Macaca fascicularis: one gene and its partners. The protein of the gene in region 1 interacts with the protein of each later gene in a pairwise test. Links are inferred from orthologs where the notes say so. Each region holds a gene or a part of one and is shown on either strand. Other genes may lie near its edges. The genes, in order: PIH1D2, IGF2BP3 and EIF4A2.

Region 1 (4,862 bases):
CTCAGTTCCAAACATCACAATCCAACTCTAATGACCACTGAGGCCTTATCTTCTGCGCCTATCCCTTCATTCCCCGCTTTCTGGAAAATTTCTTGCCATGCCCTGAGTGATTAATGCTCTTTTTTGTTGCCATATTAATGCATGATGCTCTCTATCCAGAATGATCTTTCATACCTAGTAAGCTTATACTTATTCAAGAACCAGTTTAAATGTCAGCAGCTCAAATACCACTAATTCTGTAAAATCTTTTCTAATTCCCCGGGGTAGATTTTATTATTTCCTCCTTAGTGCTCCAAAGCACTTTGCAAATATCTCTGTTATACAGTACTTATCAAACTGTATTATAATTATCTATTGTATTCATCATTTTATTTCCTACTTTGTACAAAAGCTTTCAAAGACTAGATGACAAGAATATTCTTTGTATCTCCCAGTTGTGCCAAAATAATGCTTGGCACACTGCTTACTTTCAGTAAGCACTGAGGAGTAACTAGGTTGTACCTCCCACCTTATTGTGAGCATCTGTGTGCCGGATGACATTCCTCAGGAGAACTTTCCCCAGTGGAATCCGGGACATTCTTCAATCTGAAATGAATCAACAAATAACGTTTAGTAATAATTTATTTTATTACTTTATCTTTTCTTAAATTTTATAAAGAAGCATGAGGTAAAGGAAAGATCACTGAACTAGAAGTCAAAGATCCTAAATAATAGTTTTCCCTTTACCATTAAAAGAGGGAAATGCCTAAACACACTAATGTGAGATGAAAGGAGATAATGTACATTAAAGTTCTTTGAAAATGCACAAGACTGCATAAAATTAAGTGCTTTCATGAGCACCATTTTATTTAATCCTCATAACTATTTTTTATATGAGGCAAATATCTCCATCCCTATTTTGTAGATGAAGTTCCCTTAAACTTGTCATGCCCCAAGCCACATAGTCCCAGGCAAATGATGTATATCAATGTCTAGATTAAAAATCAAACCTCCAATCCCAATATTAGTTTGCAGTGAAGCAAATACGTAGATTTGAGAGTATCAGGAACCACAGGTGTCAACAGTAACAGAAACTGATGACTCAAAACATCAAATGCAAAGATGTCCTAAACTTCTCCATTTGGGAGCATTTTATTTCCTACTTGGTACGGAAGCTTCCAAAAACTAGATGACAAGAATATTTTCGTGTGTAGCTAGCACGGGCTTTGTGCAACCACCCCAACGCTCACTCACCCCTTGATCCTGAGGAAATCAGGCATCTTGTTAGTGAGACGAAGAACCACTCCATTACAAGATCTCCTCCGACCCAGGAAGCCAAGGAGTCAGGGCTCAAAGGCAGCTCTGCAGCTTCACCCGAGTCCTTCGTGAAAACGCAGCCTTCCCACTGGTTAATCTGCCCTCACCTGTGGCCCAGGCCACTGCCGCCTTTCCCCCAGCCCAGATCGACAGGCAGATCTCTCTCGCGGACTGAGGCCGGAGACTGAGCCGGCGCGGAATTCGGACAGCCCGGTTGACCCGGGCATTCCCCCCTCACGCTCCTCTGGGACGAACCCCGGGGGTAAGTTTCACTCCCCAGAAAGGATGGGAACGCTTTGGATGGCTATGGCCTTCGGTTGGGCGCCAGGAAGTATCTAGGGGGCCTGAAGCGGGGGTTGAGGTTTCCAAGTGGAAGACAGAGGAAATATCCCCATCTTTGTCACCGGGATCCCTGTCCCCCAGCGGCCTCGGAGCTCCCGGTAACCTCCCCTCCAAACGCCCTCCCCACACAAATACACACAAACACACCCATACCGTGCGCCGCTGCCTCGCGTGGCGGGGGGTAGGGGGGAAGAAGCGGTTTGGGAGAAAAAGGAGGAGACTTCCTTCTCAGGCCGGAAGTGGTGCTCCTGAGAAATAGTCCCACCAACAGGCAGCCCAGAGACTCCCAGAAGGGAGGGTTTTCAGGACACTCCAGAGGTTGACGGGTGCAGAAGGGAGGCGGGCGCTTTCCTGGAAGAGAAGTGGATCGGGCCCAACTGAAAAGCAAGCCTGGTACCAGAAGGGGGACATTCCGGAACTAGATATGAGGAGACTTTTCTGCCTGAAACTCCCCGGACCCAATTAGATGTTGTACCCAGGCTGGTTACCCTGGTAACAGGCGTCGCGGTTTGTCAAGGAGCTGAGAGAAGAGGTGGGTTTGCCAGCCTATAGAATGACTACCCGTTAGAACAGAGAAGAGGTGGGTTTGCAGACCTATGGAATGATTACCCGTTAGTTAAGCTTCCCATTTAGCGTAACCCTTACACAGTAGTTGAAGAATCTAAACCTTTTTGCCTCGTTCTAAAGATGCTGTGGGACACCTCTCCAATGGGAGAAGAGGCTCTGAAGACGTAGAGAAGTGTCCCAGCCTCTCTATTAGCTTCCTTAATCCTCGCAATAACCCTATGATAATATAGGTATTATCGTCTTCATTTTGAACAGAGTAAGAGGAATATATATATATGTATATGTATGTGTATGTGTATACACACACACACACACACACACACACACACACACACACACACACATTAATTGCTCAAGGTCATACAGCTAGTGAGAGATAGAACTAAGACCGGAATCTAGGCATTCTGGCTCGCAAGTCCATGCTTTGAATTACTAAACTATAATGAGGATTAAGGAAGTCTCATGTGGCCCTCACCCCATACACACCTCTGGCAATTTCAGAACTGGGGAGCCACCAGTCAGTGAGGTGTTGGAACAAGAAGATCAGGAAACCCAGATTTAAAATGATTGCTCTGACTTGTCAGGGTCCAAGTAGAAGTAAAGTCTTATCTGAGAGGACAATGTGAGAATTTAGGAAGAGGTACTAGATAATTAAAGAATAAGGAAAACATAAAGTGGTGCTGCTGATCCACAATCTTTTAGACACAAATGCTAAGTCCTAACTTCACCAAAACAATTCCTGGCCCATTCCGCCTCCCCAAAGCAGAAATGAATCAACAATTACACAGGGCCGGGCGTGGTGGCTCAAGCCTGTAATCCCAGCACTTTGGGAGGCCGAGACGGGCGGATCACAAGGTCAGGAGATCCAGACCATCCTGGCTAACACGGGGAAACCCCGTCTCTACTGAAAAATACAAAAAACTAGCCGGGCGAGGCGGCGGGCGCCTGTAGTCCCAGCTACTTGGGAGGCTGAGGCAGGAGAATGGCATAAACCCGGGAGGCGGAGCTTGCAGTGAGCTGAGATCCGGCCACTGCACTCCAGCCTGGGCGGCAGAGCGAGACTCCGTCTCAAAAAAAAAAAAAAAAAAAAAAAAAAAAAAAAATTACACAGACAGTTTTCTTCCCAAAGTCATGTCTTTCCACAGGCTTAAGAAAATTATTCACCACTCATCAGTCATGGAGACATCCTCAAAGGGTCTGCTCACCCAAGTTACTCAATTTTGGAACCTCCTAGATGATCTAGCTGAAAGTGACCCTGAGGGCTATGAGAAGTTTATTCAACAGCAGCTGAAAGAAGGGAAACAGCTCTGTGCTGACCCACAACCACAGCTTTGTCTACAGACCAGGATTCTGGTATGTCGAGTTGGTGCCAGGGATGGGGAGGTCTTGAATAAAATGATCCCAGAGTAACCACAGAATACTTTGCACTTAGGCATTGCTTTTTTTTTTTTTTTTTTTTTTGAGACAGAGTTTTGCTCTGTCACCCAGGCTGGAGTGCAATGGCATGGTCTTGGCTCACTGCAACCTCCGCCTCCTGGGTTCAAGCGATTCTCCTGCCTCAGGCTCCCAAGTAGCTGGGATTACAGGTGTGCACTACCATGCCTGGCTAATTTTTGTATTATTAGTAAAGACAGGGTTTCACCATGTTGGCCAGGCTGGTCTTGAACTCCTGACCTCAGGTGATCTACCCGCCTCAGCCTCCCAAAGTGCTGTGATTATAGGCATGAGCCACCGCGCCCAGCGGACTTTTTTTTTTTTTTTTTTTTTTTTTTTTGAGATAGGGTTTTGCTGTCGCTGAAGCTGGAGTGCAGTGGCACAATCACAGCTCACAATCACAGTTCATTGCAGCCCAAACGATCCTTCCACCTCAGCCTCCCAAGTAGCTGGGATCACAGGTGGGCACCACCACACCTGGCTAATTTTTAAATTATTTTTGTAGAGACAGGATCTCCCTATGTTTCCCAGGCTAGTCTCGAACTCCTAGGCCTCAAGCGACCCTCCTACCTCGGCCTCTCAAAGTACTAGGGTAACATACGTGAGCCACCACCCTGGTCTGGTTTCCTGATTAAAAGCCAGCAACCTTGGGGAAATCAAGTAACAACAGTATAATCAAACACAATTTTAATACCTAGGCTGCAGTGCAATGGCACAATCTTGGCTCACTGCAATCTCTGCCTCCTGGGTTCAAGCGATTCTCCTGCCTCAGCCTCCTGAGTAGCTGGGATTATCTGCCACCACACCTGGCGGACTTTTGTATTTTTAGTAGAAATGGGGTTTCACCATGTTGGCCAGGCTGGTCTCAAATTCCTGACCTCAGGTGATCCAGGCACCTCGGCCCCCACAAAGTGCTGGGATTACAGGCATGAGCCACCATGCCTGGCCTTAAATGGTTTTAAACTAGGTTTTGAGATGTGCAAAATTATTTGCTTTCCAGAAACCAAAAGAAAAAATACTTTTTATCAACCTGTGTCAGTGGACAAGGATCCCACCTCCCCAATCAGCCACTCATCCAGTACCTCTAACTGTTGGCAAACCAGAAGATACAACTGAGACATCAGGTACAAATAATTAAGGGAGAGAAAGCACATTGTACAAATTTTATTAGGAATGGACAAGATTTTACTTGGTTGAGAGCATTTCAAGTAAAATTCTTTATT
Region 2 (4,728 bases), on another chromosome or scaffold:
AGGCTTAGAGGCCCACCCCGGTGCGACTGGGAGGCAGCAGTGCCTTTCCAACTGGAGTTAGAGCCGGAACCTATGGTGTGAGTTGGCTGAAGGTTTTAAAAAATAAAACAAAACAAAAAAATAGAGCCGGAATCTGGCCGGCTCTAGCGAAAGGAAAGGAGTCGCTGCAAAAGGCTTCATAAGAAAAAGAAAAAGGGAAAGAGCCATGTCTCCAAAATGCTTCAGAGGCTAAAACAACCTGCAAACATTCTGTAAAGGGACATACTACACACATGATCTCGGAGACGAGAAATCCCCCTCCTTAAGTGGCACAAAATCTTCCTGTCTTCATCATTTGGTGGTTGTAAGCAAAAATGTACCCAGGAGGAGTAGGGTGGAAAGCGGGGAGACAAAGGTGCTGACTGCAAGAACCTGTAGAACTTTGGAATGACTCAAAGGCACTTCTGGGCCGGAGAGGCCCCGGCGTTTACGCACGCGTTCCAATACCCCTGGCGAGCTCACAGGGCAGAGGCAAATTCCTCTCCAGTCGGCCGCGCCCACGGCCTCCCAAATCCGGACAGAAAGGCGCGCCCCCCGCGTGTCCGCAGCTGGTTTCGCCTTTCTTGCTCCTGGAGGGGTAGGGGAATCATCCGCTGCTTCCCAAGTCCTGCAGAGTACCCCCCGAAACTGCTTGTTGCGACCCATTTCCCGTAGGAGCAATTTGACCCGCTGTGACCGAGGACATTCAGCTGTGAGCTTCCGAGAGATTTTGTAACCAATAACCATAATCCCGCGGCAGAGGCCACAGACAAGCTTTCAATTCCTACCCAGCATCATCAACACACACACACACACCCCCGCCATAAACTTAAAAGCAAGGGGAAAAGACCAGAACACCACGCCACACCGCAGCCGGGTAAGCACCAAAGGACAAGTTCTCAGCTGAGTCTCTCCACCCAATAACGGAGTGAGAACAGAATCGGGGGAAACAGAAGCAGCAGCTCACCTTTGCCTTTTTGGGACCGAGTGCTCAACTTCTATGGGTTTCCCGTGCAGTTCTATTTTACCTGCGGACACACAAGAAGTGAGAGACGGTCGGCCGAGTTCAGCGGCTCTCCCTGCCCGAAAGACCCGCACAGCCCAACTGGCGACACAAATGGCCTCCTGAGGCCCCCGAAGGGTCCCCGAGACCCGGACGCGGCTCCAGACGGAGGGAGAAGCCGACCCCCTCGGGCGGCGTGGGCATTTAACTCGCAGATGGTTGAGGAGCAGGGTCCGCTGACGGGCCCACTACTTGGGTATCAGTCCAGTCCCCAAAGCCTCCCCCACCCACCCCTGGGGGCCACCAACACGAAGCCCCCAAGAGGGACACGGCCCATCCTCTCACCGCCCTGGACACGCTCCACAGGACAGACTCGGGGCAGGGGGCTCCCCTGGCTTTCTTCTGGAGGGGGCGCCCTGGCTCTGCCCTCTGCTTCAGCCCAACCCGCCGGGAACACTTAGGAGTGGGCTTGGGGAGGACAGGGAGTGGCGGGAAAGGGTCGGGGACGGCAGGGGAGACCCAGAACGGGAGAACTGGCAGAGGCGCAGCTCGGCTCAGGCTGAACCAAGAGCGAAGGACTGCGAGGCGCCCGCACCACGTCTGAGTTGATTAAAAGGGAAGCCGAAAAGCACGGGGCTCCCATGGGGACCCCAGCACAGCCTTCCCCCGGGCGTCCCGCCCCGCCCGGCACCGTCCCTCGCCCTGGCGGAGCCATACCCGGAGGCCGCAGCCCCGCGCCAGGGCCCGGAGAGCGGCGGGCGGCCCGGTGCGTGGCGGCGACTCCCTTCCAGGCGACCAGCCGCCCCCGCCCACCTGCCCCTATCGCTCGTCGGACCGGGGGAGGTGGAACGGGGAAACCGGGCACACTCTCTCCTCCCGCAGGGTGGGGAGGAAGCGCGGGGCCGCCTGTGCGAGGCACCAGCCCCGCGGTCTCACTCGGCAGCAAGGTCGAGGCCACTTTCCGTTCTCCACGGCCGGGGTTTCGGGGCGCAGAACAGACAGCGCCGTAAATAACGACCGAGGAAAGCAGGAAGGAATGAGACACAGGCGGGCATTCTAGCTCGGCCCCCGAGGCCCAGCGTGCCGGGGCCTGGAGCACGCGCCTGGGCCCGGGCGGGGCGCCGGGGGAGCGCGCCTCCCCCAGCCCCGCGCCCCCCTTAGCCAGCGCCGGGGCTTTCTTGACAGCGCGTCCGCCCTCACCCAACAAACCCCGGCCGGGGAAGCAGAGCCGCGGGCTGGAGTGGGAGCCGAAGCTGAGGAGAGCCCCGGCCCCCACGCGCGTGGGTGTGGGCGCTGAGGCCTCACCCCCGCTCCCCCAGCGCGCCGGGCCTGGGGCCCGCGGAACCACCCCGGTGGGTCTGGGCGGGCGGTGCAGGGCTGGGGCGAGAGCCCGGGTGGGGCCAGGCCCGGGCCCACCTGAAAGCGCCTCGATGGCCTTGAGGGCCCAGCTCTCGTCCGGGCAGTCCACGAACGCGTAGCCAGTCTTCACCAGGAAGGGTCCCGACACCGGGATCTTGGCGTCCTTGAAGATACTTTCTAGGTCCGAGGGGGCGGCGTTGTCGCTGAGGTTTCCGATATACAGTTTGTTCATTGTGAAGAGTGGTTGTTTAAAAAAAAAATTAACGAGAAAAACGAAAAATTAAAACCACCCACGGTGATGGATGGATCCAGCTGGTTTTGTTCCCCTCGTCTTCTCGCCTTTAAAATACACAAACACAGTAAGAACCAAGCACAAGAATGAGGAGCGAAAAATCAGATCCGAGGCTTGTTTTTCCTTGTCTAGATATGTTTTAAAAGAGAAAGAAAAGAAAAAGCCTAGCTACAACCCAAACGCATCCACCAGTCTTCCTAAGTCTGAGAAGGAGGCGGGATTAGCAAGAGAAAGGAGGAGGAGGAGGGGAAAAAACTACTTTTTGTCTCTTCCTCCCCAACCCCTTTGGCTTCGGCCAGCGGACTGTGAAAATATCACACTACGTGAGGCAGGCGCCGCCTCCCCATAAAAAACCCAGAAGGGTGACTGGCAGGAGGGAGGGGAGAGGAGGAGGAGGAGGGATGAAGGCGCAGGAGGCGGAAAAAATCCGCTCCGAGTGTCCGGCTTTTTGAATGAGCCACGTGTTCAAACTACAAATCAACGTCTCACGTGAGGAATCCCAGAGCCTCAATTAGAGTGGGTTTCAGAGAAAAAAAAAAAAGCGAGCGAGAGGAAGAGGGGGAGGGGAAACGAGATTGGGAGAGGGACCCTGAGAAGGCGGAGGAGGAAGAGGGAAAATGCTAAAGGAACCGCAGCCGGCACCGAGGGGAGCGCGGCGCGGGGCGCTGACGGTCACAACTCGAGTTTGGAAAGGGTTATCTGGTCTGGGCGGATCCTGGGAGGGAGGGCTGGAATATTGATTTTTTTTTTTTTTTTTTAATGAGGAAATGGGTAGAGGTACTAACAGGCAATTCCTCAGCTTTAGTTACCGTAGTTTTAATCATTCGATTTTTCAAAATAGGTTATTAACAACAAAACCAGAGTCACAATCTCGAACTCGCCTGGTGGCTTTAATGGCATTAGAAGTGTAACCCCAGCAAAGCCGCAGGCACGTTTCTAAGGCTGGCAGGGACGGAAACGATGCGAGGAGGGGTGGGGGACTGGGTGAAGGGGGCAAGGGGTAGTGGCAAGACAGGCGGGCGACGCACCCCACCCTGTGCGCCCTTCTCGGGCCCCGGGCACCCCGCGAGTGGGGGCGGCCCGGGCCCGGGGCGGTGGGGGATGGGAGCCCGCAGCGTCCTGGGCGGGTGTCTGGGCGACACCTCCTCCGCCTCCGCCTGCGCTCGCGGTGGCTCTCGGCTTCGCGTTTGCCATTGGTTGCGCGATTCAGAAAAGGCTCCAGGATAAATGAGGCCGGGGGCGGGCTTGGCCACTGGTGGGGGAGGGGAGTGCAGGGGCGGAGGTTTCTAGCTAGGGGCTGGGGTCGTCGGGGACCTGGGCCGCTGGAGGAGAGAAGTCAAAGTGGGAGAAGTCGGTACTTAAAGGGAAATCCTCTCTTCCTGTAGTTTTTAAAGGGGGAGGAGTGGAGCAGGCTGGTACTTTTATTTAATTAATTTTAGTTGGAGAACTTGAGACTTAAAATTGGAAGACCGTCCTGCGTTACCCCTAGGTGGGATTCGTATTTGAAAAACTGTTCGAGCCTCTTTCTGCCTCTTTTCTGCCTACATTTGGTCATGAGAGCCATACATAATTTTCTCTATATGTAATGAGCACAATGGTGGTTGTCGGGGGAGGATTTGGGCCCGGTGGAGCCTTTGTGGGCCAACACAATGTGAACTGGAGACGAGCAATACGGAAACGAAGGCAGTGCTGGGGTTCTAGTGGAAATCTCCAAGTGTCGTTTAATGATTGTGTACTCCACTCAAAGCTTTCATTTGCACTAGATAGTTGTGTTTTTAACAGGTATATTTTTAACAGGTATTCTATGGAAAAGATATAAAATGCTAATTTTTTAAGTGAAATAAATTCTATATAACATGAAAATATAGACAAGAATCTTTAATGACTTGGTACTCTTACTGGTAGAAAAAAGGTATCCTGAATAGAGGAAATATTGTGATTTACGCTGGAAACATCTTCGGTAATTGTTAAAAGCTTCTCTGTCAAAACCGTTGTTAGCATTTTAAAATGTGTATTTTTCATTTAAAAGATGAATGGTAGATTTAAACATGGGAAT
Region 3 (4,728 bases), on another chromosome or scaffold:
CCAAGTGAAACCAAACGGTTGGTCACTTTTTTGATTTAGTATATTTTTCAATTTCTTAGATCTCAGGATAGTTTTAGTATATTTTGGATGAGACAACAAGGATCTCTGACAAACATCATTCTCAGAAAATGTCTGGCATCACCTCAAATATGGCTTTCGAACATTACAGAGGAATGAATGAGGAGCAGTACCAATAGACTGAGGGCCAGGCCCACTTTGCCATTTTGGTATTCTTCATCTTTGTCCCAATTCCTGGCACGATAAGAATTTTCAAATGAATAAATAATTTTCGTATTAAAATAGTATTTAGAACCAAATATCTTCAATAATACAGAAAATTGAGTCAGCTTTCCCAGTAATGATTCTTTAAGTTGGCCTTCTGAAATATGATAAAATGTTTCCAGATATTCTCGATATTTTGCACCATGGGTAGGGTTGTATTTTAAAGTTAAATGACTACATATATTGTTTTTTTGTTGCTGTGAAGGGACCTGAGATGGGGCTAATTGAAAACATCTGGAGCTTAAAGACTCGTGCAGTTTACGCAGCAAGGATATTATTGCTCTGAATTTCAATAAATCAACATTTCACTATATATCGGTAAAGCTCAAAGCCCTTAAAAAATGACCAATGTAGACGGAATCAACACCGATGTAGTCCCAAAGCGGCACAGAGCTGTATCTGCCAAAGCGTCCATTTAAATTCGTGCGTTCCACGGAAAATTACTGCTCCTTAGCTTCTATCCATTTGCAAAAGTTTATGATTTTTTTCAGGCATTCCTCACACCTGTTAGGTTAAAATCATTAACACTCTTTTAAAAAGAAAGCGAGAGACCGGAAACGATATGAGAATAGAATTGGCTACTCCAGAGACATCTGCAAATGACACTCCATTTTTTTTTCTCGCTGCAAAATGTACCGGTAAACCAAACTTTCCGGGACTCGCTGGGTGGCCGACATTTTCCCTAGCAGGAATTTTACGTTTCCAAGATCTGAATGGATGTTAATGGTCGGGCTAAATGCCAGGCAGGTCTTCACTGTCAAATTAAACAGCGGTGGGAGCAAGTGGAATAACCGAGTTCCCCTCCCGCACCTGAGCGCCGGCAGCGAGCCGCGAGTCGGGACCCCTCGCACGCGGGAAGACCCAGACGCCCAGCGGGCAGCGTCTCCGGCTTCCGCCTCCGGCTCCGGCTCCGGCTCCACTCCCCCGGCCCGCCTCTGCGTCAGGGACGCGGAAACCCCGTAGGAGCAGGGCGGGCGGGGAAAGTGGTGTTTGACTAACGCCGCAGCGATATTCTTCCGCCGCGAGGTAAAGAATCCCAACCCAACCCCGGGCCCTAGGATTTCCAGCGACCCTATAATATCGAGAAATTACCACATTTGGATTTTCCAACCGTCTTGCTTAGGATTTTATCCGACGTAACGACCCCAGGATCACAATTTTGTGGCTGACCGAAGCACGGCGAGAAAATTCCTCCGCAAGAAACGGGTTCCGGCCACGAGCCTATAAAAAACGGGTGGCGGGGCTCTGCTGTCTTTTCAGTCGGGCGCTGAGTGGTTTTTCGGATCATGTCTGGTGGCTCCGCGGATTATAACAGGTATGGCGCGCTGTTGGCGGTCGCGGTCTGTAGTGAAGGTCGTAGGGCGCCAGGAGAGATTATAGTGGATGGCATGGAGGCAAAAACTCCAACTTAGTGCACGTTTCCTTAGGGTACAGCACCCCTGTGCCCTTCCAGAAGCTTCCATGATGGGTAGGGCCCGGATTGTGGGGAGACAGGACGATGGTGCGAAAGCAGCGGCTAAAGGGCGTTTCTCCTCCCTAAGACATTAGGAATTTTGGCTGCTTCCCCTCCCAGTGTAGAGCACGGGAAACATGCAGTAAACAGCCGTGGCGCAGTCCGCGTTCGGTACAGTGTAACCAGGACCCGAAGCTTTATTTTTGGTCAACCACAGGAGTTGGGGGTCCTTGGCTTCAGTTGGGGAAGGGTTGGAGGCAGCGGTCTCCACTCGGCCACGGCGCGGAGGCGATGGGACCGGACCGGCACGGGTGCCGGCGAACCGTTGGCATCGCTCTCGCCAGGCCGCTCCGCCCGCGTCAATCACCCGGCTTGCGCATTGTTGGGGGCGGAGCTCGTCGCCCCGAGCTCTCGCGAGACGCTCCGCCGCCGAAACGGGATCCCCATGCGCTGGGGCCTGGGGGGCTGCCTTTCCGGACGTCCGCGGCCCCCAACCTTTAGGGAAGGCGCGCAGTGTGATATTCGTCCTGCAGCTGCTGCTTTAACTTGTGCAGGGGAGGCTAATGTGCTGAGACGGGTTGCAAAGGGCTATCCCTTTAAGATGCAGTTAAGGTGGCTTGGAAGGGATGTCTGACTGCAGTATTCTTGTCAGCAGAGAACATGGCGGCCCAGAGGGAATGGACCCCGATGGTGTCATCGAGGTAAGAAACGGTTGTGGATGTTGAAGCTTTGAAAAGGTGAATGTGTTCATCTCATTCATGCGTGCATTATTTTTTCTAACTTACAGAGCAACTGGAATGAGATTGTTGATAACTTTGATGATATGAATTTAAAGGAGTCTCTTCTTCGTGGCATCTATGCTTACGGTTTTGAGAAGCCTTCCGCTATTCAGCAGAGAGCTATTATTCCCTGTATTAAAGGTAAAAGAAACTGGAATTTTTAGGAAATGACTTTATTCTACATAGTCATGGACCGTAAAAGGGAAAGTAACCTCTGGGGGACTAGCACCTGTTTGTATTCCTTAAAGTGAAATGATGGCAATCATCTTTCGGGACTGACCTGAAATGAAGAGAATACTCATTGCTGATCACTTATTATTTGGGCATAATTCATGTTCCAAATGGAATACATGGTGTAAAGTAGAAGTGACAATTTGATGTGGGATCGGTAAATATGTATCCTACTTTTTTTAGGGTATGATGTGATTGCTCAAGCTCAGTCAGGTACTGGCAAGACAGCCACATTTGCTATTTCCATCCTGCAACAGTTGGAGATTGAGTTCAAGGAGACCCAAGCACTAGTATTGGCCCCCACCAGAGAACTGGCTCAACAGGTATTGATAGTGTAGTTCAAAAAAACTGCTTGCGTGTTGCATAGGTTTCAGGTTTCACAACTGTGAAGAATTTAAAACTTAGTATAAATTGGTCCTACCAGATCCTTCCTTTTAATTGTCCATGCATGCAGGGAGTTTTTGTTGAAAGCTTTAAAAGAACTGGGTATGCAGGTATGGTTTGTAGGGTTGTATACTAATAGATTGAGAATCCGAAACACTCTCTTGGATGTACTAGATCTGTCCCCATTTTTTAAGTTTGAATGCAGTTGTGCAACATGAAAACTGCAGTGACATGTTACCATTTGACTGTCTCCGTAGTTTGTGATGCATCTGTTGCATGCTATGTTTTCAAAGCTCACTGCTATATTGGCTTTGAAGTAAACCTTCCTAATAAAGCTGGAGGCTTTATTGAGGTCAAGATTATATAAAGCACAATACCCTCTGGGGGAAAAAAATTATTTGCCCTAGCTGTAATTACAGAACATATATTTCACTATGTACTCCCTACACACAGTGAAGAATAATGTAGGAAATGTTATTCTTGAATTGTCTAGCTGATGCGTGGGGCAGCAGCATCCCAAGTTTGACAAGGCAGAAGAAAGACATTAAGGGAGTTTTACCTTGAAGCAGTTAGGTCAGTCTGCGTTTTAAGCTTGGAAGTAGTTTCGTGCTGTGCATGCATAAAAGCTGTTGGCAGACCAGTTTAAATTTGCCATTATGCTTTAAAAAGTAGTCATTGATCCTGGAGTTCTTCAGGATAATAATTAAGGCTTGGTTTTTAGATCCAAAAGGTAATTCTGGCACTTGGAGACTATATGGGAGCAACTTGTCATGCCTGCATTGGTGGAACAAATGTTCGAAATGAAATGCAAAAACTGCAGGCCGAAGCACCACATATTGTTGTTGGTACACCTGGGAGAGTTTTTGATATGTTAAACAGAAGATATCTTTGTAAGTATTGTCTTTAAAAGAGTTTTTTTTTTTTTTTTTACTGTTACAGTTGAAAAGTCATCATATTACTGAGTAGATCTAGAAGTGACAGTATGACTTTGTTTCTAACAGCTCCAAAATGGATCAAAATGTTTGTTTTGGATGAAGCAGATGAAATGTTGAGCCGTGGGTTTAAGGATCAAATCTATGAGATTTTCCAAAAACTAAACACAAGTATTCAGGTAAGCATTACTTCACTCCCCTCTTAAAGGTACAGATGGGGTTTAATGCAGGTACTGTTACAATACAACTGACGTGTTTTATTGTCGTTCCCCCTGCTTAAAGCACTTGATGCATAACTATCTCTGTCTAACTCCATTCTGTAGTGAGACAGAGACGCTTGGCTTCAAACATTTTCTCTTGGGTATTACTGTGTAAGTTGTTCTACAACATAATTTTCTCTTTTCAAGGTTGTGTTGCTTTCTGCCACAATGCCAACTGATGTGTTGGAAGTGACCAAAAAATTCATGAGAGATCCAATTCGAATTCTGGTGAAAAAGGAAGAATTGACCCTTGAAGGAATCAAACAGTTTTATATTAATGTTGAGAGAGAGGTAACTGATTGTTAGACATTATTTTACCTTCTTGTATAAGCACTGTGCTAAAATTGCAGACACTAGGACTATGTCTTGGTTTTTGCAATAATGCTAGCAGAGTACACACAAGAAGA

Evidence for each region.
Region 2: the proteins of PIH1D2 (region 1) and IGF2BP3 interact in a two-hybrid assay, tested with the Homo sapiens proteins (2 studies listed by BioGRID and IntAct). The two-hybrid records come from large-scale screens. The link is inferred for Macaca fascicularis from reciprocal best matches to the Homo sapiens genes PIH1D2 and IGF2BP3.
Region 3: the proteins of PIH1D2 (region 1) and EIF4A2 interact in binary tests that used the Homo sapiens proteins (3 or more experiments, as listed by UniProt). The two-hybrid records come from large-scale screens. The link is inferred for Macaca fascicularis from reciprocal best matches to the Homo sapiens genes PIH1D2 and EIF4A2.

The regions. Positions count from the first base shown.
Region 1 is NC_088388.1:111,003,469-111,008,330, reverse strand, and holds the start of PIH1D2 (PIH1 domain-containing protein 2), read left to right. Parts: upstream 1-1,947; 5' UTR 1,948-2,170; exon of another isoform or gene 2,171-2,218; intron 2,219-3,350; 5' UTR 3,351-3,381; coding exon 3,382-3,558; intron 3,559-4,639; coding exon 4,640-4,763; intron 4,764-4,862. Other genes in the region: uncharacterized protein NKAPD1, read right to left, coding at 509-577.
Region 2 is NC_088377.1:106,804,209-106,808,936, reverse strand, and holds the start of IGF2BP3 (insulin-like growth factor 2 mRNA-binding protein 3), read right to left. Parts: upstream 2,994-4,728; 5' UTR 2,613-2,993; coding exon 2,438-2,612; intron 1,047-2,437; coding exon 986-1,046; intron 1-985. UniProt on the Homo sapiens protein: RNA-binding factor that may recruit target transcripts to cytoplasmic protein-RNA complexes (mRNPs). This transcript 'caging' into mRNPs allows mRNA transport and transient storage.
Region 3 is NC_088376.1:11,710,157-11,714,884, reverse strand, and holds the start of EIF4A2 (eukaryotic initiation factor 4A-II), read left to right. Parts: upstream 1-1,534; 5' UTR 1,535-1,568; coding exon 1,569-1,597; intron 1,598-2,387; coding exon 2,388-2,436; intron 2,437-2,522; coding exon 2,523-2,655; intron 2,656-2,759; exon of another isoform or gene 2,760-2,828; intron 2,829-2,928; coding exon 2,929-3,068; intron 3,069-3,850; coding exon 3,851-4,019; intron 4,020-4,130; coding exon 4,131-4,240; intron 4,241-4,285; exon of another isoform or gene 4,286-4,412; intron 4,413-4,468; coding exon 4,469-4,612; intron 4,613-4,637; exon of another isoform or gene 4,638-4,728. UniProt on the Homo sapiens protein: ATP-dependent RNA helicase which is a subunit of the eIF4F complex involved in cap recognition and is required for mRNA binding to ribosome.